Linked DNA regions of Coturnix japonica. The protein of the gene in region 4 interacts with the protein of the main gene of each other region in a pairwise test. Links are inferred from orthologs where the notes say so. Each region holds a gene or a part of one and is shown on either strand. Other genes may lie near its edges.

Region 1 (6,874 bases), on a different chromosome or scaffold from region 4:
AGTCCATCTGCAGACTTAGTGAGAGGTCTTCAAACTCTTCACAGGAAATGAAATGTTCCTGGGCTCTGAAATAATCCTTGCAAATCTGCAGATGATGTGACCGTCTTCCTAGGAAGGTCCCTTCCACAATGCTGAGAGCAACCAACTTAGCTCTCATATAAAACTTCAAATGTAGGGCCAGGCCCATATCCCATTACACAGTTCTATCCCTCTCAATGCTTCACAAAAGAAATCAAGCAAACAAAACCAAGGAACAATTTTAAAAAATAATAATACAATCTTTCCTTAAAACCTTGTGTTTAAAGAGTCACCATGGAGAACAGGAATTTGGTACCCACAACGTACAACTGCAAAACCCTGAGCTTCAGAAGAGCTTCCAGTCTCAGGTTCCATCTGATACTGCAGGGTCGCAGAGGAGAATGTAGTGACCCTAAAGTGAAGATGACGTCAGGTCTGACCCTGGGGATGATCTCAAGAATGGCTCAGAAAAGTGGGCTCATGGGAAGATCCAACCACAGTCAGTATTACTCATTGGTCAATGGCTTCTGGCTTTTGGCTCCGTCCAACTATCAACTATCTGGTTCTTGAAGCTCACTACAGATGCAGTATCAATATGGACCCACTCTCAAGTGTTGGAAACTGCAGAAGTTGAGTCTACAGCTGTGGTTGGTGGCACCTGTGCAGCAAATCAAGTGCACCCAGCTCCAAAAGTCTGCATAATCTCAGCTCTTGATACAAGCCCACTTATAACCATAAAGCTATTGTGATGTGCCTGCATTACACTCCCTTGGCTAGGATCTTGGAAAGCTGATCTATCAGCTGAGGGTGGGAGCTGAAATTGTTAGAGTAAACTGTAAATAGCTACACAACAAAAATCTCATTACAGAATCCATGCTTAATTAAAACCCAGGACCTGAATCTGAGCTCAAATTCTGAAACACCTTTTAAAAGTACAGTCTGGATACAGATTTCATTTGAGGCTGATCTTTAATATTACATATAATTTTCCAGTAATTTTCTCTTGCAGAAACTTCCCCAGTTATGGCAAAACTATTTCTTACTGGAACACTGTTAAGAGCGTACTATATACAAATTGCCAGACCTCGCTTCTTGTCCATAGATCAGCTTATATGAGATCAAGAAGGAAAAGAAAGAATGGTTTTAAGGTGCCAAGGTTTCATCACATTTTCTTTTTCTTTCGACACATTATTTTATGAGTTTGGCTGGCTCCATTCCAGATGCCTTGGCAGTCAAGACTTCTAGGAACTGAGAGAATATAAATCCCTTCCCAAAGTAAACTATTTTGTTGATGCCAAAAAATCTGGGCACCATTTCCGTTACTTTTACTTTCTGGAAAACCTTACCACAATACATCGTATCACACCTTCCCAACTCATTCACCTTTAACCAGCCATTGTGGTTAAAAGTTTTCCCATAAGGCAACAGGAAAAGCACTTGGGTGCATGTAAAGGCAGCACAGAGCGGTACTATGAGGAGCATGGAGGATTGGCAGTCCCCTGGTTTTAATGGCAGGCAGCATGAGCATTTTATGGTGTGGGAGGAAGATAATATGATCATTATGAAGCTGCATATGCTGGATCTGACATCCACAGCCTGCCCAGGTAAAGCATGGGCTGGCATCTGTGAGACAACATGGACCCAAAGAAGAACTCTAGGTCCTTTTCTGAATTAATATTCTTCCTCAACAAAACTGACTGCACAGACTCAGCTCTCTCCTCTGTTTCTTTTCATATTGCATAATATGTGAGTGAGGAATGCAATGGGGAGGATCAAATACAGCAGCTTGTGACAGGGAAAAGCCCTCTTGTTTTTTCACGTTCCCTTTGCATCTGGCAAGATAAAATCCTGATGAAGATTTATTCCCTGCACCTGTATGCCAAAGCTTCTCAACAGTACCCTGGCATCTTTCTCCTTTAGCAATCAAAGTGTGTGGACAAAGCCCGATACAGACTTTGGGCCCTTCAGCCACAATGACACTAATTAAGTGACACATTCAGGACAGACCAAGATCTCATGGGCTGACTTTGCTAACAATTTTTGAATGCCAGTATTTTAGGGGGGAAAAAAAAGCCCTAAACATACATCCACTGGGAAATTTTGACTGACACTCATTGTGGTGGCTAATAGTATTTCCTACCAGATGCTCAGATACCATTCAAACTATAGCCCATAATACACAATGGAGGATCTACAAACTCAGACATTTCCATGAATGATGGTCCCTGTAAGTACCATTACAAGGACAATCTCGGTGCTGGCAGCAATACCTGTGCTCCCATCTCCTCTGTAGCCACTAGTGGCATTTAAATTGCAGAAACAGTACAGACTGTACCCGGCTTTGCAATTGCCCATTATCACGTACCAGGCAACAAATGAGCCTGCAGTTAACTTAGAGGCTTTATAAAGGAAGCTTTAATTCTATTCCCATGGCAGCTATTGCTTATATGAACATGTATTTGCCTGTAATGATAACGGCCCTTCAGGAGAGAGCTTAATTCACTTCAAATCCACCTCTCAGAATATTGTTCGTGATCTGTTCTGCAGTCCCACAGATCATCCTCTTTACCATACCCTCAATCAATTTGAAAGCACTAAGGAGCAGGGAGGTGAAAACCAGCCATGCTCTCACAGAAACAGTGTAAAATGGTAAGGATGGGGAGTCTGAAGGAGGAGGAAGCACCTGGAGACATGCCACACAGTGGCAATGAAAGACCAAGGGCCAAGGATTATGTCAGTCAAGACACAAGAGCGCAATAGCACAAGGATATGCAGTTCAGAAGATCCTCATGCTTTCCTCTGCTGTGTGGAGCATAACTGGCTATATTTGCCGAGCTGCCCTCTGGCTTTAAGCAATGACAAAAATAGTTGATACTGGCTTTCATTATGGCCATATTTTCACTTCCATTGATACCAGTCTGAGAAGTCTACCACTGAACACTCACTCCTCAGCCTATCAAAGGAAGGTGTGGCTGAGTTCAACAAACCTCATAACCATGGCTTGGAAAATTCAAAGAACAACTAAGTGTTTCCTGTTCAGCTTTCATTCCACACCTTGCGCATGCTAGAAAGAGCACATTTATGATGAAACAGAAGCGTTGGAGGCAGCACCTTTGGGTTGCATGTTTGCTACTGGAACATCCTTGGGTGTCTTACACCTTTCGTGTCTTGCTCATGCCAGCTTCACCTTCTGCTTCAGCTATTCTGTTTCCTACAATATTGACTTACATTGTCCAAAGAATACGGCAGAGACAGATAGACACAGCCATTCGCTGACTGTGAGGAAAAGACAGAAAGAGGTTCCAAACATTTGAACTTACCTCCTCACCTTATCTGCATTCGGAGCTGCTGTGCTTTAGAACAGTGTTCCTCCCCAGCCCCATTTTGTAGTTATCCCAATATTTATTTTTCCTTTGTTTTCTATAGAGAGGATAAGGCTTCCACAGGGCTTGTTAGACAATGAGAATATTCCTTGGGAATTGCTTACAAAAAATAAAAAGCAGACAGTGAGGGACTAGAAAGGGATAAGAAAGGGTAGGAAAAGCAAGACAAAAAGACTGACCCTCCATAGCAAGATACTTTGCAGAAAATGGTAAAGATTGGGTTCTTCTTGCACAACATAGCAATAACAACAGCAAAATGGAAACAGAGTTGGTCTTGGTGTAGACACTCCCATCCCATCTACCATGGAAAGAGAGCAAGGGAAGCAGTTACTATTCAATCTGCCTCCCACTTCGTCCATCCAGAATCACAGAGCGCCTCTGTGGCTGGTAAAAGCAGCTGGTAGAAGTCTCCAGTCTCTGGCCATTCTTGGGGATGGTCATTTTGTTCCGCAGCATCACTCCCTCAGGTGTTGTCCGCGAAGTTTCAGACAGATCACCACAAATGGGACTCGAAGAGGAGGTCTGAGTAGGGCTTCTGATGGGTGATAACAACACCCTGGAGTCTGCTGAAGAGGAGGGGTGGTCCATAATGGGGAAAGGGGGACTGAAGAGAATCAGACTCTGGGGCCTCCCAGGCCTAGATCTATAGGAAGGCTTGGAGAACCCTGATGGCCTCTCCATCTTTGAAGACTGGGGGTTATCTCCACCTGTCTCTCCCTCGGAAGTGCGCTTTCGGCGCAGAACAGGAGCATCCAGGCTAGGGTTATGGCTGGACTGAGATGACTCCAGTGGAGAGCCAATGCTGTTGTTCCAGGGGCATGTTGAGTCCTTTTGAGCTGGGTCACTGTTTTCTTTCTCCGCTTTGGCTTTCTTCTCTGTCACTGGGCTCTTGGGGGGCTCCAGGTGGCCCCATGCCACTCGTTGAGTCTGCCTGCCAGCCTGCTTGGCTTCTGCTTCTTTCTTCTCCACTTGTGGAGCAGAATTTTGAGCCTGCAGGGGCTGGGGGATCTGGGTGTACTGAATCTTGGGTGGTATCACAGGCACAGCTCTCGCCTGGCACATCTTAATCATGAAGGAGGTCCTGACTGCTGACACACTGACAGGGGCAGAGTTACGACGGCCAGTGGTGGCATGGGCCACTGCCAGGTAATCTAAATCTAGATCTACGTGGGCACTGAAAGGAGAGCGCCAGGAAACACCTTTAGCCCCAGCAGGGCAGGTAGTTGACAGAGATGGGACTGAATCACTGCTTTTCACTTCCTTCTGTCCATACAGGAAGTTCCCAGCAGCAGAAGGCATGGCCAGGCTTTCAAACGTTAAGAAATCTGGAGTTGGAAGGAGTGAATCCAAGTTGAGGGATGACGGCCTAGTTTTCACTTTACGAGGTGTTTCTTCATCTTTATTACTCTGAAGTGACTCAGTGGCAGAGCACACTTTTGTAACAGTGTCTTCTGCCAGAGCAATGTCCTGAGACCTGGATGACTCTTCCTTTGTGATCTTTGCCTGTAAAGAACTGTTTGGGGCATTTTGGTATGGTAAGAACTGCTCGAGCTTTGACCTCCAAGGGTTTTCTTTGCTTACATCCATTTTTATCCCCTCTGGCTCTGGAAGGATTCTGGAGGGCTCTTGCTTAGCTGGTGTTTCCTCCCTGCTGATTGGATACCTCAGCTCATCAGTTTTCAGAGGTTCTTCTGGAAGACACGTATTATTCTCATCTTGCTTAGCTTTGCCTAGACTAATTGGAGAGATGGACTTTTTGGGCATTTCCAGTGGCAGAATGTCACTGCAAGGTTGCTGCTGTTCAGGGGCATCAATGAAAGAGAATGGGATAGTCCACAAACTCATCACTGTATCTTTACTATCCAGAGACAGGCTGCGACTGAATCGTGGTCTAAGGGAAAGGCCTGCCTCTGATCTCTGATCTTGTGGCTGAAACTCTGGTATTGTCTTCTCCTGAATGTCCTTAAAGGTTGGGGAATGGAGTGGACTTGTGACCCATTGGTGATCCTCCCAGGGCTCCACAAGCTCTAAGCTCTGTACATTATCTACCCAGTTATCCTCATCATCCTGGTCACCAGCATCGTGAGTTCTACTGACAGCATTGCCCTCCTTCAGCTCCTGGATTCCAGCTCCATTCAGTGCCTTGGAGGATAATGTGTCCCTTCTATCAGCAGTCACTATCTCAGGCATCTCGCTCCGAGTCTGGACTTTGGTATGATCATCACTTTCCTTCTGCAGCTGGCAAGTGCTATCTTTTCCTTTCTCTGATTCTGAATGTGCTCCTTTGGAAAGAGAAAATTCATCTCCTGGAGGAAGCTCATTAACTTCTGGTTGACTATGAAAATTCAATTCCAAGGGAGAAGTGACACATTCACGCATGCTGTCTTCCACCACTGAATGGTGGTTCTTTGGAGCAGCTACACTAGTCAGGGGAGTTCCCAATTTGGGGAGGGCTGAAGCACAGCTCTGCTGTGCAGCCACATCAGACTGGTAGTTTTGGTGGCTGTCTGGTTGTTCTGTGTTGGTGGCATCAAATAAAGGCACCTGAGTTGTGGTCTGTGGGGTTCTGCCAGCAGATTTCTGCTCAGACAGCGTTGTACATTGCTCTGGACCAGAGGAAAAAATATTTGTTTGTACTGAAGAAGAGGATTCAGAAACTGGGACTGTCTTGGGGACGGCTGCTGGAAAGAGCAGGAGTTCTTCTTCAGGTTCAATTATTTTCAATTCATGCTGTATCTCGGGCCACAGTGGTTCCAGAAGGGTATTTGCAGGATCCTTCTCAGTCTGAAAAACAGAAGAAATGCCATGACCTGGAAGTTCACAACTTACTGCAAATACCCTTCAATTTTCCTCAAACAGTCTCTTAGAAAAGACAGGCTCCTGGACAAGCATGTTCATGGTAATAGAAACAAACACACACACATACAGTAATCAACCCAGTGAGGAGAATGAGCAACTAGAATATCTCAGCCTATTTCTCAGCTCTTCCCATTCAGTGCTCACTTAGCCTTGCCAGAGGTTCTGCATTCCCAAATCATACCGGAATGTATAATCCATTAAAGAACATATGCCAACAGATCTTTAAATAGACGTCCTGTGATGAGCACCACTGTAAGAAACCTGGTGAAAAAGGTCTGGTAGAAATATAGAGGAAGTGTGTGTGTGTGGATGGGGGAGGGTTAGGGATGGAGGGAAGTGTGTCCAGAAAATGAAATAAAAAAAGAAATTTTCAAGCTGTACAGGACAGTAAAATAGAACAGCAAAAAATAGAAGAAGAGTTCAGAGACCTTGGGTCAAAAGTATCAGACACCTGGACAGTCTCACATCTGGAGAATCTCACAGCTGACAGATTGTACAGAGTGCAGTCACAGTTGCAGGAAGAGAAAACAAAGAGCGGACAGTAGGTAGCTGCACAAAGATAAATCAGCAAGTGCTTAAATGGACAGAAGTGAAATCAGTGCAAGGTCAGTTCT
Region 2 (7,640 bases), on a different chromosome or scaffold from region 4:
GAAAATATACGTATTCAGGGAGAGTGAAGAAAAGGAGGTGCTACAGAAGCTGATGATATTCACCATGAAGTTGTGTTACTCAGGAAACAAGCTGACTTCTCCAAACACAGTGCATTTATTTGGTGTTTAACAATGGCTGCAGGTAGCAGAGAGTACACCTAGTAATTACCAAACTCCTCTAAAGCTTCCCACTACTGTTTTTTTAGCAATCTTTCCTTCCACTAAACATATAATTGAGTACCCACCCTTCTGCACTAATTACAGCTGCATTGTGTGTTTGTAAGAGCTTTATAGAATTGCATACTGCATGCATTCCTCAAGATTTTTAATACTATTTAAAAGCTTCTGATGTAAATAATATGTAAGGTTAGCATGATAGCTGAGATTTTTAACTCTTGCGAAACAAGAGGGGCACAATAATTCAACAAAATCAAATTATAATCAACCAAAAGTGAGCTGTTCTCAAAGCATAAAATATTTCAGAGCCACACAAAGACATACACCTACTTTCCAAGTGTGACTTCCTGCTTACAAAAGCTGTACATTTGATGTAATGTCCAGCAGGAACTGGCCAGATGCACAGAACTTCCTTTATTCAAGTGGTGACCCCCAGACTTCAGCAGGAACCACCATGGCTGACAGCCCTTTGGTGCCCAGAAAGCCCAGTGACTGCAGGAAGGCACCTCAGTCCAAGGCCCAACATCATGGGCAGGCTCAGTAGAACCTTCAGCTTTCAGGTAAATCCACGGGAAGAGCTCTTCAAGAAGAAGGTTGGGGGGCAGATTACAAATTCTGGCTGTCCTCTAATACTTCCTCTGGAAGTATTTAGATATCTGCTGCTTAGCAGCTACAGAAATACTTCAGAACATGCAAGCACATATTTGCAGAGCTGTTGGACTGATGGTGATGGGGGCTTTATTTGTGCTTCTTCTAGTATTTTGGTGAAAGAGGAGTGAAATTTTTACCAGAAAGAGCAAATATATAGTTGAACAAATTTCTTATTTAAAAAAAAAAAAAGTGATAAAAAATACATCTAGTATAATCTTAACATAAAAATATGTCCAGCATCTGGTGTTATATGAGTGAAGATAAATGACATGCTTACAACTCCTGTTTTTTCTCAGACAAACCTAAAGCACATTATGAATGTAAATGACAATACAACAATCTTTTGTTGCTAAAAACTTCCCGTTCACATCCAGTTCAAGCCACACAGATGTTACACAAGTCAGGCTGTATCCTCTAACACACTATACGTCATGCAACACAGGGTTGGGAAAAGGTCAGAGTTCCAGCTAACAGAATCTGGATACTCAAAATTTTAAGCAATATATTCTCCAGCTTTCTAAAGAAAAGTGTTTTTTCAGCTTGAAAACATGACCAAGCAGCAGCCTGGAGAAGTTCATCCACCAGCTTTCTATATAATTGGAATCATTCTTTTCCAGTAAGGGGTTATGTTTTCATACTTGTAAGTGTGGGTATGGATATATTCACTCACAGCCAAGGAATGGACTCAGAAGACCACCAGATTTGTACCAGCCACTCCTGCGGTCTGCAGGCAGCCAAGAACATAAGGGAGAAGTTCCTAAGTCACTTCCCTGTAGCTTAATCATTATCTTTATGTGGTTAATGCTATATATTATATACAGTCACACAAAGACACTGACAGCACAGCCAAAATAAGAAAGGCTTCTGTCAGACTCTTTGAACCACAAAAGGTTTGTATGAGTCCACAGATGGGAGAAGTTTGAACACCATTAAACAGCAGAAAGTTTTATGAAACACTGTATTTTACTTCTAAAAAAATAAGTAAGATTTAGGAATACAAATACAGTAAGGCGAGGAGTTACATAAATAAGGAGGCATATGAGTAAAACACAACTTTTAACTGTCTGTGCATCCTTTGGCCCTGCCCTTGCAGAATTACATTTCTGTGATGAATCACAGAAGCTGAACATTCCTACTGGCATCATTTCATTTCTATAATGAAGTTAGTAAACCATGTTTGCAGCTCTATGGCTTTAGTATGCAACTCACTTCACCTGTAAAGTGTTAAAACTACCGCATTAAAAGTAGCGACAACACTTCTATCTATATTCCCTCTCATGTAAGCAAAGGCTTCTGAAGCAGTGACAGTTTTTCCTTACCCTTCCAGCCTGTAACTCTCTTCCATGGCAGAAGCTAATTACTGATGTTCTAGTTCAGTGAACTCCTGGAGAAATTCTTTCATGCTGTTAAACTCAAAACAGAAAGTTTTACCCTCCACCCTACAATGACATCATGAGAAAAGGAGGGGAAAAAAATACTATGAAAGCACTGTTTAATTTCTGCTAGACCAGAAAATTATGCGACTCATACATTGCTTCACTGTACATAAAAAGGAGCTGGGGTAGGGCAGCCAGGTTCCCCACTGTGATTTTTGATTCCTTGACCTTTACAAAAGTTTCTCAAGTTAGGCTTCACTTACAGCCTGAATGTTATCAATTCAGCTTCTCATTTATGGCTTCCCAGACAGCTGAAGATCCTCATAATATTTTTCCACTACTGAAGTTGAACACAGAAACACTTCTAAGTATTAAAACTGAATTTTGAAATACATTGTCATTATAACCTTTACATCAAGAGAGGAAAAAGTATCTCGTCTCCCATAAGACAGTAACACAGCTTTGGTTTATATATCTGAAAGGGTTGATTCTGAGCTTGGCAGTTTCATGGCCTCTACAGATACTGTGCTCATACATTTTCCACATATTTTTCTTATAACATTTCTTCCTCTAGGATGATTCTCAGTCCATTTTGCTACTTAAACTGGATAGCAGGAAAGGAAGTGACTTAACCTCTTCCAGTAGAAATGCAGATGCTGTGCCTGCTCAAAAGCAAACTAGACATTCAGTAATTACGAAACAAAATAACAGACAATGAATAAAAATCTGTTTCCAAGCCTTCACTGTCCACTCATAATTATTCCTTTCTACCCTTCTATCAGATCAAGGCTGCTACAGTAAAACTGCACGAACAACTTACAATGCTTGTACAACTAACACATTTGTTTGTATTTAGAGCATGGAAGTCTGCAAAAGACATAATCACAATTATTCCTCATCACCACGTGCATGCAATTCTTTATATCTTCATGTCAGAAATGGACAATCGAAGTAGCCCAAACCTACTAACCTGAGGTTTGTGTTTATCTGATATGTTTTGCAGCCAGTAACAACTTGAGGGCCTTGTCTCTGTTGACATCTTAACCATGGAGTTTCCTCTTCACAGTTCACATAAATTTACCATCACAATACCTGCTCCTGGTTTTCCCTCCTTTTCTGGTCCTTCCCTTCATAAATAGAAGAAAGGAACTAAAACTGGTTCAACTGGATAAACTACCTTTTCCTCTAACATAGGAACAGAACCAGGCAGGAAGAGAAACTAAATGAATTAAAATGGCAAATCTATTAACACAAAGCGGGCTGGATGCCAACGCATGAATGATCACAGCTATCTCCAGAGGTGACTTTCCAAAGGCATGGGAAACCAGCTTTTACAGCAGCCACCATGGAACTGCAGAATTGCAGGGGTTGGATGGGACCTCAAGAGATCATCAAGTCCAACACCCTTCTAAAGCAAAATAACACACATTTTAGAAGAGAATAAATCAATTCTTCAATCACTTCCACACTTCTAGCTACAAATATTCAGGTGGAAGACAGCAACATTGTGAGAGAAAAAGTATTTTAAGTTGATGATTCCTTAGATTATCAAGATTGTAAATAACCTTCTCAACGACTGCTTCTACATAGGCCTGGGGCTGTTAGTTGAACACTGGTCTCTTAGTTCTACTTGTGCTCATTGGCTTTAAACAGTGGAGTTGCTCTGGGTTTGGATCAGAATAACAGAAGCCATATCAAAATTAATTGATGTCAAAAGACAATTTTACTGTCAATACAGTTTTAGGTCAGGGAGGGTGAGCACAATGCTGGTCTGTCCTATCAGACCTGTTATTTTGACAGCTCACTGAAAACCAACCAAAAACATACAGAATAATCTTTCTGCACAGTCACGTCCACTATTATCAACAAATTCAACAAGCAACAGAAGTATCTCAAAGTATCAGACAGTATGAAATCCCAGTAACACAACACAAGGCGCATTGTGGCAGTAACAGAGTTTTATCAGGACAGGTTAAAATGTTTCCACTTTCACAGTCCTTCTCACGAAAACCATCGGTCTCCTGTAGACCTGGCAGGCCTTCTTCACTCATAAAAAGCCAAACACTGATAACCTGGAAGCCTTGCCACAGCGCATCATGGAAGATCTAATCCAGCTTCCCGTTGCTCTCCGTGCGTAATCAGAATCAGCACGTCTGATCTGTCGACCAGCACCGATGCAGCCGGAGAGAAACTTCGTGCACCGAGTCCCATCCATCAGCGGGACCCTACTCCGCATCCCTCTCCGTGCCGGTGGCCTCGAGGAGGCTACAAGCAGCCGGAGCACGGTGGAGGCAGGAGGGACGGGGCCCGGGCTGGCGTTAAGGGAGCAACCTGGCACCCCGGCGTCTCAGCGGGGTCCCTGCAGACCGCCCATCCCCGCGCCTCCCGGCCGCTTCCACGCACCCACGGGTGCCCCGCAACGCCGCTCGCTGCCCCCGCCCCGACTTACTGAGCGCCGCCATGGTGCCGGCCTCCAGCAGCAGGCAGTCCTGGCGGCCCCGAGCCTCCAGCAGCGCGCTCGGCCCCGGCTCCTGCTTCCACAGCAGCCGCAGCCCTTTGCTCAGAGCCATGGCAGCCGCCGCTCACCGCACCGGGCGCCGCGGGTCTCCGACGGAGCTGGCGTCCCGCAGCCGGGCAGCGCCCTTCCCCTCTCTCCCCGTTTCTCTTCCCACCCACGCTCCCTCGTAAACTTTCCAGAGTCAACTTTGTCCCTTCGGCTCCTCCTCCTCCTCCTCCGGGGCAGGTGTGCTCCGCCAGCCCTGCCCGCGGCGGAGGGGAGGAGCAGCGACATCCACCGCCTCGACGCGGCCGCACAGCGGGGCGGTAAGGACGGCAGGCTCTGGCTGCTGCCCCGCTCCTCCAGCCGGGCCTGCCCCGTGGCGGCGGGGTGAGTCCTGCCCACGCCGTCGGGGAGCAGAGACAGTTTGGAGTGATTTCTAACTGAAATCCTACTTACACACGGATGAAACGAGAGCGATTGGACCTCCGCTCTCTCAAAGTCCGGAGGGTGTAAAAAAGGGTGTGAATTGATCATACTCGCTTCTAAAGAGCAAAGGGATGCCTTTCTTACTGCTGCCTTATGCAAAAGGCACACCGAGAAGCTCTCAAATCCTCCTTGTCTCTCACCTTGGCTTCTTCTCGTACAGAAAAGCGCTTTCTTGAAGTAAACTGCTGGAAATACCACTTAAACAATCACTTTTTGGAGCTGATCTGTCTTTTGCTGTGGAGCAATTGTATGTGTCTGACATGGGAAGTGATTAACTCCCAAGCTGAGGATTCTCCCAGGTGAAACCATTCTCTTCTCCAGAGCAGCTGTTTTCACCCAGGCCACACACCCTCATTAACTCCTCAGCATTTTTATTTATTTATTTTTAATTTCATCCTCCTTTCTTAGTGAACTTTTATTTCCTGTTCTTCCAGCTCTTTTTGCATTCCCTGTATTTACGGGAGAAGGAGAGAAGTCCTTCTGTCTATCTCCCCATTAGATGGGGAGGAATCCTAAAGATCTCATGTTTGCTGACCGCAGTTGTGTGCAATGCAGTGCACATAAAATGGCAACACTGCTGAATTAGAAGGTGAGTGTCTGTAGTAGCAGGATAGCAAAGTTTATTTCCGTTCACTCACCTCCATCAAACAGACAATAATGTCCATTCGATCTCTTACAGAGTTTTCAGCCTAAGTTCTTTGGCTGTAGGGAGAAATTCAGCTGTTGCCTCAGCTGCCATGGACAGCTGTAATTCCTGAAACACTTTTATCTTCTTCCAAGTCATTATTCAGTTTTCACTCCTATTTTCAATCCATCCCCAGACCCCAGTTTACCTCTGAGACAAGCTGCGCATAACAATGACTCCCTCCCAAGCCCTTACGGAAATGAGGTTCTCAGGGTCTGCAAACCACCTTAATGAGAAGGAGTCCTGGTGCTGACCTTAGCAGGTGGGGCTGTTACCAAGCAGTGCAGCAGAATTAGCATTATTCAGCGTTCTGCTGGGATGTGAGGAAGAGTGTGAGCCTTGGATCCTAAACTTTGGGTTATGGGATGGATGAACGTCCATGTCAGCTTTTGTGTGCTGCTGAGTGGCGTTTGCCAACAGGGGGACTTACCCACAAAAAACTTGTTTGGTGTACAGTGGGAACAAACATTTCTGTGCCCATTCTTATGCAACAGTGATTCTTTTTAAAGCGCTAAATCTGAATAGCAAAGATTAGTAGTGAGGACAGTTCTTGGAGATTTACGGCCACTTGAACGTAGTCACAAATGCCTCAGGAAATGTCTGTGTTCATGAGGTCCTTGAAACATTTTGATTTTTGCCATTTCCGATAAAATTTTGGCTACAGTGACCAAAGAAGAAATAGGGGAAATACCTCAAAGTAGCTTTTCCTGCAGACGTCTTTTAAAACAATCAGTTTTTGCAGCTAATGTGCAAAACTTCTTATTGTTTTCACATTTTTGGTTAAAATTAGAATGTGCCTTAGAGAAGCACTTGTGACATTTGCAGGCTAAAGTACTCCAAGTGCTGCTATGAAAGTAGCTGTGGGTTTTTAATGCCGCCCCTTACATTCTCCATGGAATTGAGAGAAAATGTTTCTTTTTAGGTTGGTTACGTATGTCCTGACCATGTAAAGTACTTTGTGTGCAAAAGACATCTGGTATTTTGTTCCAGAAACAGGCTGATATACCTCAAGCTAGGTCAGTGTATCTTAATGAAGTCAAAACATCTCCTTAAAAAGAAGCACAAGTGATAAATCAGCATGGCTTATTTGTCTGTTTAGAGCTCAGCAAAGAATGTTTGACCTTTCCACGAGTACTAGAGCAGTAATGCAGAAATACTTTCTTTACTTAAGACAGTGTCAACATTTTCAACTTTCCACTTGTTTACAGCCGATATATCCCAAGCAGCAACTCCTAACCTCTGACCCTGCATCCTGTGATCCTCGAAGCTGGGAAAATTAACTTAATGCTAACATTGTGTATCAGTATTACCTTTCAACTGATTACTAGAGAGAGAAAGCGGTGGGTTAACAAAGACAACCTGAGCTTCCAATTTAGTAGGACACTGAAACACATAGCTAACTTTATGAGTAGTCTCAGAGATCTGCACTCAAGTGAGACTTTTCTAGTGAGTCAGGACTGCACACAGTACTCCAGATGTGGCCTCTCCAGGGCTGAGTAGAAGGGATCTCCTTCCTCAACCTATGGTCACATCTGTTTTAATGCACCCCAGGATGCTGTTGTTCTTCTTGGCCACAAGGACACACTGCTGCCTCATGGCCAACATGATGTCCACTGGGACCCCCAGGTCCTCCTCTGCAGAGCTCCTCTCCAGCAGGTCAGCCCCCAGACCCTGCAGATGAATGCAGTTATTCTGCCGATTGAGTAGTCATTCCACTGTATGCACAGTGCAGGTTCAGCTGCTCACGGTAGTTGGGCTGGAAGCT
Region 3 (7,315 bases), on a different chromosome or scaffold from region 4:
CTGAAACACCCACACGCACATACAGGGCAAGGAGGCTGGAAGGCAGGAACTGCCCCCCACAGCCAGCTGCCACCCAAGGGGCTCCCCCAGTCAATGTCCCCAGCAGCCCCAAGTCTGCCCTCCTGAAGGCCAAGATGGGGGCTTTGCTGATCCCCTCCTGACTTCACTAGTAACAGAAAACTCTATCATGTCATGGTTGCTGTGCCCAAGATAGCTCTCACAGTATCACAGTATCACAGTCTCATGTGGGTTGGAAGGGACCTTAGAGATCATCGAGTCCAACCCCCGGGATTCGAGGCTCCTGTGTAGCAGAGCGGCACTCTCTCAACCACATCTCCCACCAGTCTCTGTTCAGAAACAGCAGGTCTAGTGGGGGGCTTCCACCACCTCTCCTTCCTTCACTACCCCTTCTGAAGAGCTTAGAGCCATCCACTGCAGAACTACAGTCTTAAGAGTGATCCTACCATGCTTCAGTGATGGTGACTAAGTCATAGTTTTCCTGCCACACAATGGCCTCTAACTCCCTGTTTGATGCCCGTGTTGTGTACATCACTATAGATGTACTTCTGCTGGGCTACGCTGCCTCAGGCTCAAATCTAGTGAGTCTCCACCTCCAACTAAGAAGCTGATTATCACACAGAACAGGACCACACAAGCTCTGGCTGCCATTCCCAAGTCTGTTGCATATACAGTAAGAGTCATGCTACTTCAAATTAAAACAGTGCATGTAATTTAATGGAAGCCTGGTATACACAGGCCAGAATAATGTCATCGTACTCTCCCCAAAAAGCATAGAGACTCAGTTAATATAAAGCATTTTAAAGCATTAAGGGGGAAGTTCTTCACTAGGAGAGTGGTTAGGTCCTGGAACAGGCTGCCCAGGGAGGTTGTGGATGCCCCGTCCTTGGAGGTGTTCAAGGACAGGTTGGACAGGGCCCTGGGCCAACCCAGGTCATTCTGTGATTCTGTGATTAAAGTGGTGAAATCCTTGCTATTAAGTGCTAATAACCGCCTCATGGAAAGTACATGTGAAATAGGTCTGTGTAACTGCTTTAATGACACATACCAATCACTGACTTCACTGACATATGGTTGCACGTTATATATATCCAAAACTCGATCACACAAGCTGTATAGATTCTGGAGAACTACAATCCTAAGTTTCAGGTTCAAAACTTCAGAAGCGTGACCTGGGAAAGATCATTTAAGGTGAGCTTACAAGTGCTTAACACGCAGAGCACTGGGATTAAAGTGTGTGAAGAATAAGAAAAGGTTAAACCATTAGGCTGAAATAATCCAGGAAGTTCATGGCTAACTCTCTTCATCAGCTGTTTGTTCCCCAGAGTCTTACGCTTTCAGTCCGTCCCATCAATGAAAAGAAAAAAAGCAAGCCTCCACTGAATATGAGAAGTGCTCTATGTTGCCTTAGAAGAACAGCATCACTTCTAATATCAAACTGTATGCTCTGCTTAAATACATTTATTTACTCAGCACAGGAAATGCTGGCTGCTCTGCCATTCACTGAACATTGTGATCTCATGTTTTTGAACTGGCAGATCTCAGTCTCTCATACATGCTTGGAATTCACAGATTAGATAAGGAGAAACAAGCAGCCTTTTTGTTTTTTTCTTTCTTTTTTTTTTAATTCACAAGTAATAAGCTGCATTCAGATCCCTCAGTTTGGTCAAACAGTACGTGATTGCTCCTGGTATGTTACCTTCTCATAACAAAATGGAACAAGCCCTGTTTTCTTTTTGACCTGTTCCAAATGAATGGAATCAGTGGGTCACCACCCTTACTCAGGTGACACCCCATGAGCAGCCGCTGCCCTTACAACACAGCCTGAAAAGCACTGGCAAGGGGGGAGCCCAGGATCCCTGATGCTACTGAGCCTCAGAAGGGAGACTCCTTGCTGCTGCCAATATCACGGGTTCACGCCTGGACGCCTACCTGTGTGACGTGGTGTAGGGAGCTGTTTGGCAGGGGGTTGGACGCGATGATCTCTAAGAGGTCCCTCCAACCCCTACAATTCTGTGATTCTGTGATTTCTTTTTCTGCAGAAGCACCTCACAGCTTCACCCAACTTTGTATATTGCGTCATTCTAAGTACATAAAGGTGAGATAGAACCACCGTCTATGGCTCTAAACTGTGAGCAGTTTGCGGGCTTGGCAGGATTTCAAGCCCTTTAAGTTCTTTGGGCAGTGGCACAGGCTGCCCAGGGAGCTGGGTGGAAATCACATCCCCCAAGATTCTCAAGAACTGTGTGGAAGTGGCAACTGAGGACGTTGGTTTGGTGGCACGGAGGGATGGGTCGGTTGGTTGACTAGATGATCTCAGAGGTCTTTTCCATCTTAATGATTCCGTGATAGGTTGGGATGGGCAAACAGCCTTCCCTTTGCTACAGATCGACCTGCCTCCTCACTTTGTTGTCTCTTTGTTGAGGTGCGTCCACAAGGCCCTGGTGAACAGAAGAGCAAGCTGATAGATTCTTAGGTGAAAATATAAGGCTGGCATATGGAAATGGATCCAAGTTGAAAGAGGGAAGATTTAGGTTGGATGTTAGGGGAAGTTCTTAAATCCGGAGAGTGGTAGGCCCTGGAACAGGCTGCCCAGGGAGGTTGTGGATCCCCGTCCTGGAGGTGTTCAAGACCAGGTTGGATGGGGCCCTGGGCAACCTGATCTAGTAAATTGTTATGTTGGTGGCCTCTGCCAGGCAGGGGGTTTGGAACTACATGATCTTGAGGTCCCTTCCAACTCGGGTTCATTCTGTGATTCTGTGATATGGCAAACTGTGCCTATTTTTAAGGGTGGTGAGTCACTCACTGATTCAAAATAATCAGACATGTTAGTTCAGATTAAGGCTTAGTACGTTACTCCAGGCATACAATTAATGAAGATAAGTGTCATACTATACTTTATTTTGACATTTTGAGGCCAGCTACCTGACACCAAGCTTTGCAGAAGGAAACAACATCTGCATTTGCAGGTATTTATTACTAACCAACAGCATTTCTTCATCTAACTCTGACTGTCCAAAAGCATTCAAAGTCTTGCAGGTAGAAAACATGGCCAGAACATATCAGGGAAGGGCCTAAAAGTTACTTTCTAAGGAAGATAACACCTCCACTCCCCCAGCAGACCTTCACTAAGACAGAACAATGCCAGAATTGCACTGTATTCCAACTTCGAGGCAGCTATTTCTATTGCATGCATGGGAAGACTGAAAAATCAACTTGATTTTCTCAGTTAGAAATAAGAGCCCTGGAACAGATAACCCAAAGTTCCCTGCTTATCCCTTATAAGCAGCCTATTCTTCTCTTTTTCTTCTCAGTAGAGAAAAGCCCCTATAGAGTACATGTCACACTGACTGTACAGGACTGATATGAACCGAACAAACAGCACACCCTGTCAATGACATTTCAAATGACATAAAAAACAAACTAAAAGGGACATCTTTCTATTTCTGTTGTTTAAGCTTGCTAATGAAGTCACATCCATTACAATCCTGGGTCATATCCAACAGAACCTCAATGCTATTATGCCCAAAGGGTTGTATTATAGCTTAAGTTTGCAGTTCAGATCACCGCAGAGCAGTTTGGGTTGGAAGGGACCTTAATGCTCATCCAGTTCCAACCTGGCTTTCCAGACGATTAGTGGGTATAAGAACACAATTGCTGCTACCTTGCTGCAATGGAAGCAGGACATTTACACAAACTCGCTTTACGCAACCAAGAAAATGGCCCTACCTTATTATTTTTTATTATTTTTCATTAAGGATGGCCACGATATTCCGTGAATTGAGGATGGGGGATGAGCACGGTACTGTCCCGAAGGGATGCTTTCATTAGATAGCTGTGCTCGTACTCTAACAAACACAAGCACCTTCAGTCAGCTCAGCTCTATTCCTCCCGCACCTCACGCTGATACTCTCTGCCTGCAGAGACACGTTTTCAACACACACCCCGAAGCAGCCCACAACATGCTGAGCAGCTAACACACAACAAACTGAATCACAGAATCACAGAATGACCCGGGTTGGAAGGGACCTCAAGGATCATGTAGTTCCAAACCCCCCTGCCTGGCAGGGCCACCAAACATACACATTTACTAAGATCAGGTGCCAGGGCCCCTCCAACCTGGTCTTTGAACACCTCCAAAGGACGGGGCATCCACAACCTCCCCTTGGGCAGCCTGTTCCAGGGCCTAACCACTCTCCTAGTGAAGAACTTCCCCCTAACATCCAACCTAAATCTTCCCTCTTTCAACTTAAATCCATTTCCCCTTGTCCTGCTACTGTCAGCCCTTTTGAAGAGTTTACTCCCCTCCTGGGAGTAAGTTCCCTTCAGGTATTGAAAGGCTGCAATGAGGTCACTCCGCAGCCTTCTCTTCTCCAGGCTGAACAAACCCAACTCCCTCAGCCTGTCCTCATAAACTGCAGGCAGACAACTCGCCAAACACACGGACAAACACCGACAGCGGTAAGGGCTGCTCAGACGGTACCTCCAGGTGAAGGCAGGCAGACGGCCGGCCACCCCACACTGTGCCCTCAGCCAACGGGCCGGGCAAGGTGAGCGGGAGGGCCCTGAAACAAGCAGCCGGCCGCCGGGCTAAGCGAGGGGTTAGGCCCCGGGTCAGCCCCTCCCCCGCCCCTCATCCCTCATCCCTCCCCCCTCCCCCGTGCCAGCCCCGGAAGCGGCTCCCTCGCCCTTCACACACACAGGCGATGAAGGGATGGTGAGCGGAGCCGCTCGCACTAACCGTCGTGGTCCCGCTCGCCGGCGCAGCGGCTCCGCCTCGGGCTCACACACGCGGCTCCGCCTCGCTCCCCATCCCGCCGCCTCCGCCGCCCGGCCCGCAAGGACGGCTGAGGAACAGCCGCGCACTACGCACCGCGCACGCGCTGCCGCCCTCGCTCGCACCTCCGCTCGGGGTGAGGGAGGGAGGCACTCTGCGCATGCGCGGTGACGCGAGAGAGAGGCGGGAAGGGGAAGAAGCCTCCCGCGCGCAAAGCACGATGGGTAGTGTAGTTTTCTAGGGGACTCCTACCGGAAGTGGGATGGGCCGGCTTCCTGCCGACGGACTACAACTCCCAGCGGCGGGGAAAGGGGAGCGGCAGTACCTCAGGGGGAGGTGGCTGGTGCGGTAGTTGTTGGCTCCGGAAAGCAAATAGGATCCTGGGCTCCATCAGGAGAGGGGTGGTCAGCAGGGATAGGGAGGTGATTGTCCCTCTCTACTCTGCTTTTGTGAGGCCCCATCTGGAGTACTGTGTCCAGGTGTGGAGCCCTCAGTACAAGAAAGACATGGAGATTTTGGAAAGGGTCCAGAGGAGGGCCACGAAGATGATCAGGGGGCTGGAGCACCTCCCCTATGAGGACAGGCTGAGGGAGTTGGGCTTGTTCAGCCTAGAGAAGGCTGCGGGGTGACCTCATTGCAGCCTTTCAATACCTGAAGGGAACTTATTCCCAGGAGGGGAGTAAACTCTTCAAAAGGGCTGACAATAGCAGGACACGGGGAAATGGTTTTAAGTTAAAACAGAGAAGATTTAGGTTGGATGTTAGGGGGAAGTTCTTCACTAGGAGAGTGGTTAGGCCCTGGAACAGGCTGCCCAGGGAGGTTGTGGATGCCCCGTCCTTGGAGGTGTTCAAGACCAAGTTGGACGGGGCCCTGGGCAACCTGATCTAGTAAATGTGTATGTTTGGTGGCCCTGCCAGGCAGGGGGTTGGAACTACATGATCCCTGAGGTCCCTTCCAACCCGGGTCATTCTGTGATTCTGTGTTATTCTGTGCCTCGTCTGGTTTGTAACGCCCCTAACGGCTGTGCTGGGGGCGGCGGCTGGTGCTGTGTGAGGTAGTGTACCCATGGTGTTCCAGCGGCTTCTCGGCTGGGGTAAACTCATAAAGTTGGGTCATGTTCACTGAAACCCCCCGGGGCAGGCGAGGGCCGCAACCCCAATTGAGCAGGTTGACATGGAAACGTAAGTATTAGCGGTGTCTGACTGAAGGCTCGGTGAGCTACAGGCCTTAGAATGTGTGACACAACCAGCGAGGAACACGGCATATGAATACAACAGCTGGTGCAGCTGTATGGATGTTTACATCCAGCCTGCCTTCCCTATAGTTATAGTTCCCTATAGCTGCTGAGTTTGACATTGACAGCTCGGAAGGCAGCAGCCATCTGCTCAGCTTCATCCTCCTATAACCGCTTTGAACTGGAATTGTCACCGGCTCCGGATTGCCGTTCTGTGAAGGGTAAGAAAACGGAGAAATGCTGGATGCAGCGTGAGGAGACCTGTGCCAAGAGACACATCTCCATCTCCACAAGCATCCTGTTTACACAGATAGTCAAAAGAATGTTGTATCCCTCGTCTTTTCTGTTACGTTAAGCACCTGCGTATCTTGAATCCTTTTCAGGATTCCTAACCAACGGGGGCATTTGTTTCAGTCAGAAGCAGCCCGATTCGTTCCCACAGCCTCGGATATAATCCCTGAGCTTTTGGACACATTAATACAGTGGCAGCGTGCCACCTGCTTCATTTATTCACTTGAGATTCAATGCTTCTTAGTCCCTGTCAAATGGGCTCTTTGTGCAACCTTCTGTGGTAATGTAAGAGGTCCCCCACAGGAATTTGCGCTATTCAGTAGGAAATACAAAGGGGAGGGTTGTAAACACTCTGATTAGTGTTGGAGCACAGAGATATTGTCTCCGCGGCGTATTACATAACCACACGACTTCCAATTTACTTCCTCCCTTCCAGACGAAGCAGTTTAACAGCAAGTACTTGCTGGTGTATTTAACTTAACATCACAGCTAATGTCTTGGGGTTTTTTGCTGTACAAAGGCTGTGTTACTTCTGGCAAAAGAAGAGAGGAAGGTTACTTCAGAAACATCCTTAGTAATTTGAGATGATTGCCTGTAAGGATCTCCACTTGAAACAACAGTCGCCAGAGGCTCTCGGCTCTGAAGAATGAGCATTATCAAGGCTGCTGCCAACACAAGTTCACACACAATGGGCCCATCAGCTAACGAGCACAGAATGAATCTTCTCCCATTTTTGGATAAAGACAAACGAGTGATTGTGCATAGAGCTTAGTATACCAGTTTACTGCCATGTGAAACACATTTGGATGACTTCTGACTTCACAAAGCTCATTGTGGTCTGAAGCTTACTTACACAGATGAGGGCACATTCTTACTTACACACCCTGCGTTTACTTCATTCTTACTGTTTTAAGGACAAAGTCGAGAAAAGATGATAAGCTCTATGCTCTGCCTGACCCTCTTAAATGTACTAAGGAGAACACTAGATGTTTAGA
Region 4 (7,315 bases):
GTCATGGTGAGTAAAACTTTCCAGTATTGCATCAGCGTGATTACACTGCCACTCCCCATCCACAAAGGATAATAATCTTCCTTCAGTGCCAGCACACGCACAGTGCACACATTCACACAGGCTCCCAAACAGTTTAAACGATGGTTTCCTCTCAATGTCTAAGCAAAACACTTGAAACAATTGCAATGGGTGACGGACGATAAGGTGAACAATATTAGGACTGACCTAAGCCTCAGAGTTATGGTCCATGACCTTATCAGAATTACGGAAAGGTTTATAATTAGTTATAGCTACTGCCATTCATTCTTTGCTTTTTGCATGCTCCTCTGTGAACTGCATCCATAACCATTCTATATACAATTCTGCAGAGCAATCATACTCTAATGTTCTCTAATTCTACATTTCTTCTACTTTGTCAAACTGTGTCCGCTTCTCCTTACAGTCTCAGGGGAAACAAATAACAGATCTTCAAAGCATTAGACATTTGCGCCATGTAGGTGAGCATTTTTCTTTTTAAAACACCAGTATACTTCTTACTAGTGATATAAAAATGACCTAAGAACAAATTGAAGCCTAGATGAAAGGTATTGAAGTCTAGCAATAGAATAACAGTGCACTGTGTGCTGTAAGGAGCACGCACACAAGTAGGAGTTTGTCCTCCGGGGCACGTACAGAACAATTACCTGGAGAGAGATATCCATTAGGATTTCAAATTCAAAATATAGAATGATTCTGGAGTGAATAAATACGTAAGGATGTGGGAAAAAGAGCAAATGACTGTTACTATCAGCATTATCCAAACTGTGGTACTGTTTGTAAAAACTATCAGTAAACACTTACCTAGATATTTTCTATTATCAGCATTTCTGCATCCAGTTAGAATTGCCAATCAGAACGTACTGAAACCATGCTGTGTTTTAAAGTCATTCTTGGCAATGCTTAAAATAACTGATCTCGGAAGAATCAGAGGAGCAATGAAAAGTAAATGCATTAAAATATATTGCTTGTTTCATGACAGGATCATTGATGCCATTTGTGCTCATATCAATGTTTCCTCCACAATGGCTTTCATCCTTGTCATTCTATGTTGTTTTGTAATGATGATTTCATTGCGATTCTTTTTCATGAAACAAATTCCAGTCCTCCATGTGGGTAAGAAAGAAATGGCGGAGGAACTGGGAGGTGGGGAAAGGAGAAGTACTTCTACATGTCACTTGAATCTTTCCATGCTCTGATCTCCTCAGGACCCTGACATGAATCAGACAGCGTTCACGTCTGCTCTATTTCTGTGTGGTATCTGAAAGGCCCCAGAAGCGGCTGCAGCAGCCAAGAGCAGCAGGAGCGCCGTGCCACTGCCCACAGCTCCCTTCTGCAGCTCCCGGGGCTGCCAAGTCATTGGCAGAGCAGTCTGGGCTTTAAGGATATTCAGCCTGAATGACGAATCGTTTCAGCTTCCATCTGTACGGGGGAACGTGGACATACAGGTTTTATAAAAACAGCCTTTCTCTTTTCAGAGATAGACACTGACATGAAATATCTGAGAATTATCATTGCCCTCCAAAGGAAAGAGAATAAATATTGTGGGATGCTCTGTCCACCGACGAGGTTTCATTTGATAGTTTCCAAATAATTTAGACATGTTCTGAAATGAATAGGAGATGAATCACTGGATAAATCCCTGGGATGGCACCTCTGTTGATTGCAGTGAATGGTCACTCAGCACAAGCAGTGACTGCTCGGGTCTCTTCCTCGTGCTTCCTTTGATGGATGGCAACACAAGGAGAATGGTGAATGTGTGCATCAGTCCAACCAGCAGCGTCTTCCAAGGAGAATAACAGCAACTGTGGAAAGGAAAAGGCTCCTGGGGCCATTGGGCCTGATCTGCTCAACTTTTACTTCAACAGTTACAGGAAATAAATGGTTTCCTTAGGGTAAAAAAGAAACCCAGGGCTCTGTGCAGCCTGGCAGCCCCGGTACGCGTGGTCCAGGCTGCCCCACCTGGGGAAGCTGGCTGTGCACTGATCTGGGCTAAAACCTGCCGGCAGATTGAATGAATGTCACAGCATGGCAGGGGGAGAGAGGGCAGCAGGAGGATCTGCCGATGGAAGGAGGCTTCTGGCTGCGCTCTGTGCTGGCACATGGAGCGAGAGGGACCGGCCTGAGGGGAAACGGGCATCTGTCCGTGGTGGCACACAGTGAGTGCCACAGGTTGGCCTTAACTCGAGTTACATCGGTAAATCTGTACAGCGAACCTAATTCCACACTGACACGTTTCGTACAATGTCGTGCATCGGTTTGTGCACAACAGCCTCGTGGCAGACCGGCCTGAGGAGCGTTGAAGGCAGGGATAACAAAATGGTGTCCAAAGGAGCGTTTGCTGTGAGCTTTGTGGCCATGCGATAGCAGTGAGCCGGGCAGGGCGGGATGGCGGGGTTCTGCATCCCGGTGTGCGGGCACACCGAGCTACCGCCCGGCCCGGCAGCACCGCTGCGTGACAGCGCGATTCTGTGCGGCTCCGTGCGAGTCAACGACGGCAAAAAGCAGAAGGGACCGGGACCGGCCCGTGTCGCAGCGCTGCGGGGAAGCCCGGCCCGACCCCGACGGGCGGAGGAACCGGGCGGCGGCGCCGCAGCGTGTCCCGGGAGGGCGGGGCGGCCGGAGCGGGCCCGGAGGCGGAGCGGCAGCGCGGAGCCCGGCCGGATGTGAGCGGAGCGGCCGCTTCCTGTTTCCCGCAGTTCTCTCCCCGCCCTGGGTGGTGGCCGCTGCCTCGTCCCCGCTCGCAGGCTCAGGGCGGAGGCGGCCGCGACACGCTGCGGAGCGACTGAGACGCGCTCCGCCGCCGGCTGCTTTATCGAGCGGCGCTCCACGCCCCGCCCCGCTCCGCAGCCGCGATGCAGGCCATCAAATGCGTGGTGGTGGGCGACGGGTGAGTGCGGACCCGCGGACCGACCCCTTCGGTCGGGCCCGAGCCCGAGCCGCGCTGGATCCCGAGGGCGGGGGCGGCGCGGGGACGAGCGGGGGGTTGGGGCTTGTGCGGGCGGGGGAGGGGAGCGAGAGCGGGACGGGCGGCGACCAGTGCCGGCAAATGGAGGCGACGGGAGGGGCGGGAGCAGCGCGGCCGGTGCGGGCCCGAACGCGGCCACAGCCCGAGTCCGAGCCCAGCCCGAGTCCGAGCCCAGCCCGAGTCCGAGCCCAGCCCGCTCCGCGCCGTGGCGGCGGGTGGTGCCGACCGAGGCGGCTGCGCGGGGCGGGGGTGCGGGCGGCCGGGCGGGGCCCAGCGGGGCTGCGGGATGTGAGCACTGGGAGCTGAGCACTGTGAGCTCTGTGAGCTGTGCAATGTGCGTTGTGAGCTGTGTGAGCTGAGCACTGTGAGCTCTGTGAGCTGTGCAATGTGCGGTGTGAGCTGTGTGAGCTGAGCACTGTGAGCTCTGTGCGCTGTGCGGGGCCGCGCCGGGGAGGAGGCAGCGCGTCACGGGGGGAATGGGCTGAAGGGCGGGGGGCGGATCGTACCGTGTGGAGCCACAAAGTACCGAACTCACATCGCTACATCCGCTTTTTGCTGCACAACTACGAACAATCTGTTCCGCTCCAATCGAACCATACGCGCCGTGTGAGCTGAGCGTTTTCCTGCTCGCACGGCTCCCGTCTGGGGAGGTTCCTGCCTGCAAGAGGCTGAGAAAGCAATCGAAACCCAACTCATTAACATCGTACTCAGCTGTAAATCACTGCTGTGCCTACAGCGCTCCGAATGGGATGTGCCTTATACATTAGTTAGAAACAAGTTGTTAGGATCAGGTTAGCACTAAGCTGACCTGTTGGATTCCAGCATAAGCACTGCAGCTGTGATGGGGATGTTGTGTTGCTGCTTCTCAGTACTCACCACCATGTGTTGCCATTGGCCCAGAGGCTCCTTTCTCTCTCGCTGGGGCAGCAGTGCAGGGCAGCTGAACAAGGCGTGGCTTGTGCACTTCCACGGGGCTTTTTTCCCCCTCGGTAGAAACAAAAATCCCAGTGTAGGCCGAGCATAATCGGTGTCACAGCAAACCCCTGCGGGTGACAGAGGCTGTAAGTGTGGCTGATGGCCTTGCTGCTGTCTCTGTAATTGAATGTGGTGGATTAACCTTCCAGTTTCCTGTGTGTGGCTTTGTATTTTTCAACAAGGCTTGGAGTCCCTGAGCTGGCAGCTGTTAGAAAGATAAACTGAGCTCACGTGGCACATGTGTTCGGCCTGCTCTTACTGTGCAGGGTTTTGAGCCGAACACGAGTGTACTGAGCACTTGATCATCTGACAGAGACTTGTCATAGCACTGTAACTGATGGATCCATCACTGTAATTGATGGATGGTGGGCAGTGTGACTGCAGGCAAACCTTTCAGTTGCGTTGACTTTAAAGGTGACTAAAATCCCTTTTTTTAATTGTCATTTTTAAAGTGAATTGATGTCTGTGGCAGTGCTGGAAATCAACGTGGTGCATCGAGTTTGGGTGGGGAGAAAGTTCTGCCTGTTTCCTCTGCTGGGTTGAGGAGCTCAGTACGGACGCTGTGTTACTCAATGACTCGCTCAGCAAAGCAGTTCTTCTTTGTCTCTTGCTTTGTAAACTACTCCTTTTCTCAATGCATTTCCTGCTGGAAATGAAAGTGTGTCATCCCACCCAAGTCTTACACGTACGTGTGAACAAAACACGGCATTCAGTGGGCTTTCCTTCCTCTGCAGTTAGAAGCACATACCTCCTAGGATCCCATCTAGAAGCCGCTGCTCAGTTTTGCTATCTGTTCATTGACTTCTGCTGGGATTTTTAAATATTTTATGGTGCTTCTCTGCTGTTGCTTCACGAGTGAAGACATTACAGGCGTTCTGGTAAATGCGGAATGTTTGGCTTAGATAAGGCTAAAGCTCTGGTACTTCAGGAAAACAATGCAGGTTAAAGATTTGCTCATATGACATAAAACTTAGGCGCTGATTTATGTGCCCTGTGGAGATCCACTGGGAACAAACCAGCTGTGGATGTACCTGTGCAGCCTTAACAGCTGGAAGCAAGCAGGCGGTTTCTGAGCTGTTTTTGTTCTTAGGGCTCTGACTGGTATCTTTTTAGAGCTCTAATTTGGCTACAAAACACAGCATGTTTGCTGGTTGTGCAATCTTGTTTTGCCCTTGTTTTCCTCTTCATTGTGAGGATTGTTAGAGGGAAAATAAACAGCAACTGTTGCTTGTGCTTGTGGAAGATGCAGAGCAGTAGGAACGTGTGCTGGGATAACAAGGGCAGGAGCTGCTGCTGACTGACACTTGTGGAGAGCACTGCTAGGAGTTATTTTTAGCAGCTTTTGTTTTCACTCTGAAAAAGCAGCTGTTCAGTGGTATGAAATCTCAAGTGATCTCGTGTAACGCTGGGGGAAGTTCTGTGCTTTGGAATGATGATTATTGGGTGACAGAGAAACGGTCAGCTTCCTGCTCTTCTGGAGCTGGTTTTCATTGTAAAACTATTGTAAGAAAAGAGTCTGTCTGGAATTGTGCTCGCCTTGAGGCCTTGCTGGCTAAAGCTGTGCTGCCTGATCTGATAACTTGTCAAGAGGAAGGAAGGGGGGTGATGGGCTCCTTACTGAGTGCAGGGTGAGGTTCCGAGCACCTCTGCTCTCCAGTGCCACCTATGGAGAGTGCAGCGACTCCAAGTGTAGGAACTTCTGCTATTGCACTTCTACACATTGGGTAGTACTGGAAATGCTGAGCGGTATATTGGGGAGATGGGTGTCACAGCGAGAAAAGCAGCTCACCTGGAAAAGTGGCATATATCTAAACCTCTGCTGTAGCAAAAACATGGCAATTCTGTCCAAGGACAGTGCTGGTGATGTCCCATCTGCTGCTTGATGTGAATGGAGACCTGAGCCATGCAGCACGCCTGGGGTGGAGCTGGTTCATGCAGCTGAGAGAGGAAGGATGTTGTCAGAGGCTTTCAGAAGGCTGCCACCTGTTTGCAGATATCAACATTTCTGGAATTAAACAGCAATTACTTCAGCTGGCCTCCGCCTCCATTCCTGTGGCTGCAAACAGCAACTAAATTCGTGCAGTTGGGTTTTAGTCGTGGGAGAGGAGGAGAGTGCAGCATCTGTGCAGCTCTGGTGCCTGCAGGATGGAGGAAATGCTGGCACACATTGTCTGATGGCGTTCAGAGCGAGTCACATACGTGTCTGCCAGCAGCAGGAACATGGGGAGCTCTGCAGAACCGCTTAGTGTAAGAAAGGGATGGCGTGCCTTGTTTCCAGGAACAACATATGTGGCTTTACAAAGACTGGTTCCTAGAAGGTGTCAGAAAGCAATTCACTGCAACTCATTAAAATGCTGAATTTCTGTTGGCCATGTTTTTAATTGCAGTCAAATGTTACCAGTTTCATTTGATGCAATGGTGGGTGGACAGAGCTGTGATTAAGCAGTTGCTCGAAATTTTGTTATGACTAAGTTTGGTTTGGAAGTATCTCAGAGTCTACGTCTTTATGTGCAAGGATTTATACTTCGCAAAACAAGTGCAGTTCTAAGTTCCTTATCACAGAAGTTGGTCAGCTTAGAGAAAAGCTGTAAGTACTCAGAGGTTGTGCTTCATTGCAAAGATAGGTATTGAAGTTCATTTTGAGGATTGGTAACTGTAATACCCGATTTGTGGGGCAGTGAGCCAGAAGGCAAGGGAAGCAGGAAGCCTGGAACGGAGCAGGCCTGAAACAGGGTTGTTGAACGTGTTTTTTCTTGTTCAAGTGGCTGCCTGATTGTGCTGCAGATACATGCTGCAGGCAGGCGCTTCTCAGCATGGAATGAAACCTGTCACCACCTCCCTGTGCTGTTCTATTAGCCAGAGCAGACTCACCGGTTTCAGAGCAGGGTGAGCAAAGAAACTTGAGCGCTGAGACAGGTTCCTGGGCCTCTGCTGAAAATGTGGAGTTCCATATGAATTTGTTATAAGCTTTTGTTGTCTGTAATGAACCCACTGGAAAGCGAAGCATCAGACCAGCCAGGTTCTGGAAGCACATGAGCACGTAGCTCTGAGCCTCAGGAAGTTTCCTAGGGAATGTGCTCCTTGCTGCTTCCAGTGTTTGAGGGTTTTCACGTTTGTCCTTGGTCGGTAGGACTGGCAGAGCCTGCTTTATAGCTCGCTGACAGCAGTCAGCAGCACACGGTGGCTGATGAAGCATCCCAAGGATGTGAGCAGCAGGTTGTCCTTGGGGGAATGTGGAGCTTTCCCTCCGCATAGTGGCTTGTTAGCAGTCAGCCCAGTGCCCCTGCAATGGGGACAGCACGGGATCTCCTCTGCTGGCAGCTGTTAAGCCAGCTT

What was found.
Region 1: the proteins of RAC1 (region 4) and ARHGAP31 interact in a two-hybrid assay, tested with the Homo sapiens proteins (2 studies listed by BioGRID and IntAct, with this or other methods). The link is inferred for Coturnix japonica from reciprocal best matches to the Homo sapiens genes RAC1 and ARHGAP31.
Region 2: the proteins of RAC1 (region 4) and SYNJ2 interact in a two-hybrid assay, tested with the Homo sapiens proteins (2 studies listed by BioGRID and IntAct). The link is inferred for Coturnix japonica from reciprocal best matches to the Homo sapiens genes RAC1 and SYNJ2.
Region 3: the proteins of RAC1 (region 4) and RALBP1 interact in a two-hybrid assay, tested with the Homo sapiens proteins (2 studies listed by BioGRID, with this or other methods). The link is inferred for Coturnix japonica from reciprocal best matches to the Homo sapiens genes RAC1 and RALBP1.

Annotation. Positions count from the first base shown.
Region 1 is NC_029516.1:72,329,132-72,336,005, reverse strand, and holds part of ARHGAP31 (rho GTPase-activating protein 31), read right to left. Parts: intron 6,186-6,874; coding exon 3,732-6,185; 3' UTR 1-3,731. UniProt on the Homo sapiens protein: Functions as a GTPase-activating protein (GAP) for RAC1 and CDC42. Required for cell spreading, polarized lamellipodia formation and cell migration.
Region 2 is NC_029518.1:46,821,740-46,829,379, reverse strand, and holds the start of SYNJ2 (synaptojanin-2), read right to left. Parts: upstream 5,031-7,640; 5' UTR 4,775-5,030; coding exon 4,654-4,774; intron 2,167-4,653; exon of another isoform or gene 2,148-2,166; intron 1-2,147. UniProt on the Homo sapiens protein: Inositol 5-phosphatase which may be involved in distinct membrane trafficking and signal transduction pathways. May mediate the inhibitory effect of Rac1 on endocytosis.
Region 3 is NC_029517.1:88,812,259-88,819,573, forward strand, and holds the start of RALBP1 (ralA-binding protein 1), read right to left. Parts: upstream 4,952-7,315; 5' UTR 4,760-4,951; intron 1,191-4,759; 5' UTR 1,067-1,190; intron 1-1,066. UniProt on the Homo sapiens protein: Multifunctional protein that functions as a downstream effector of RALA and RALB. As a GTPase-activating protein/GAP can inactivate CDC42 and RAC1 by stimulating their GTPase activity.
Region 4 is NC_029529.1:8,461,710-8,469,024, reverse strand, and holds the start of RAC1 (ras-related C3 botulinum toxin substrate 1), read left to right. Parts: upstream 1-2,706; 5' UTR 2,707-2,891; coding exon 2,892-2,926; intron 2,927-7,315. UniProt on the Homo sapiens protein: Plasma membrane-associated small GTPase which cycles between active GTP-bound and inactive GDP-bound states.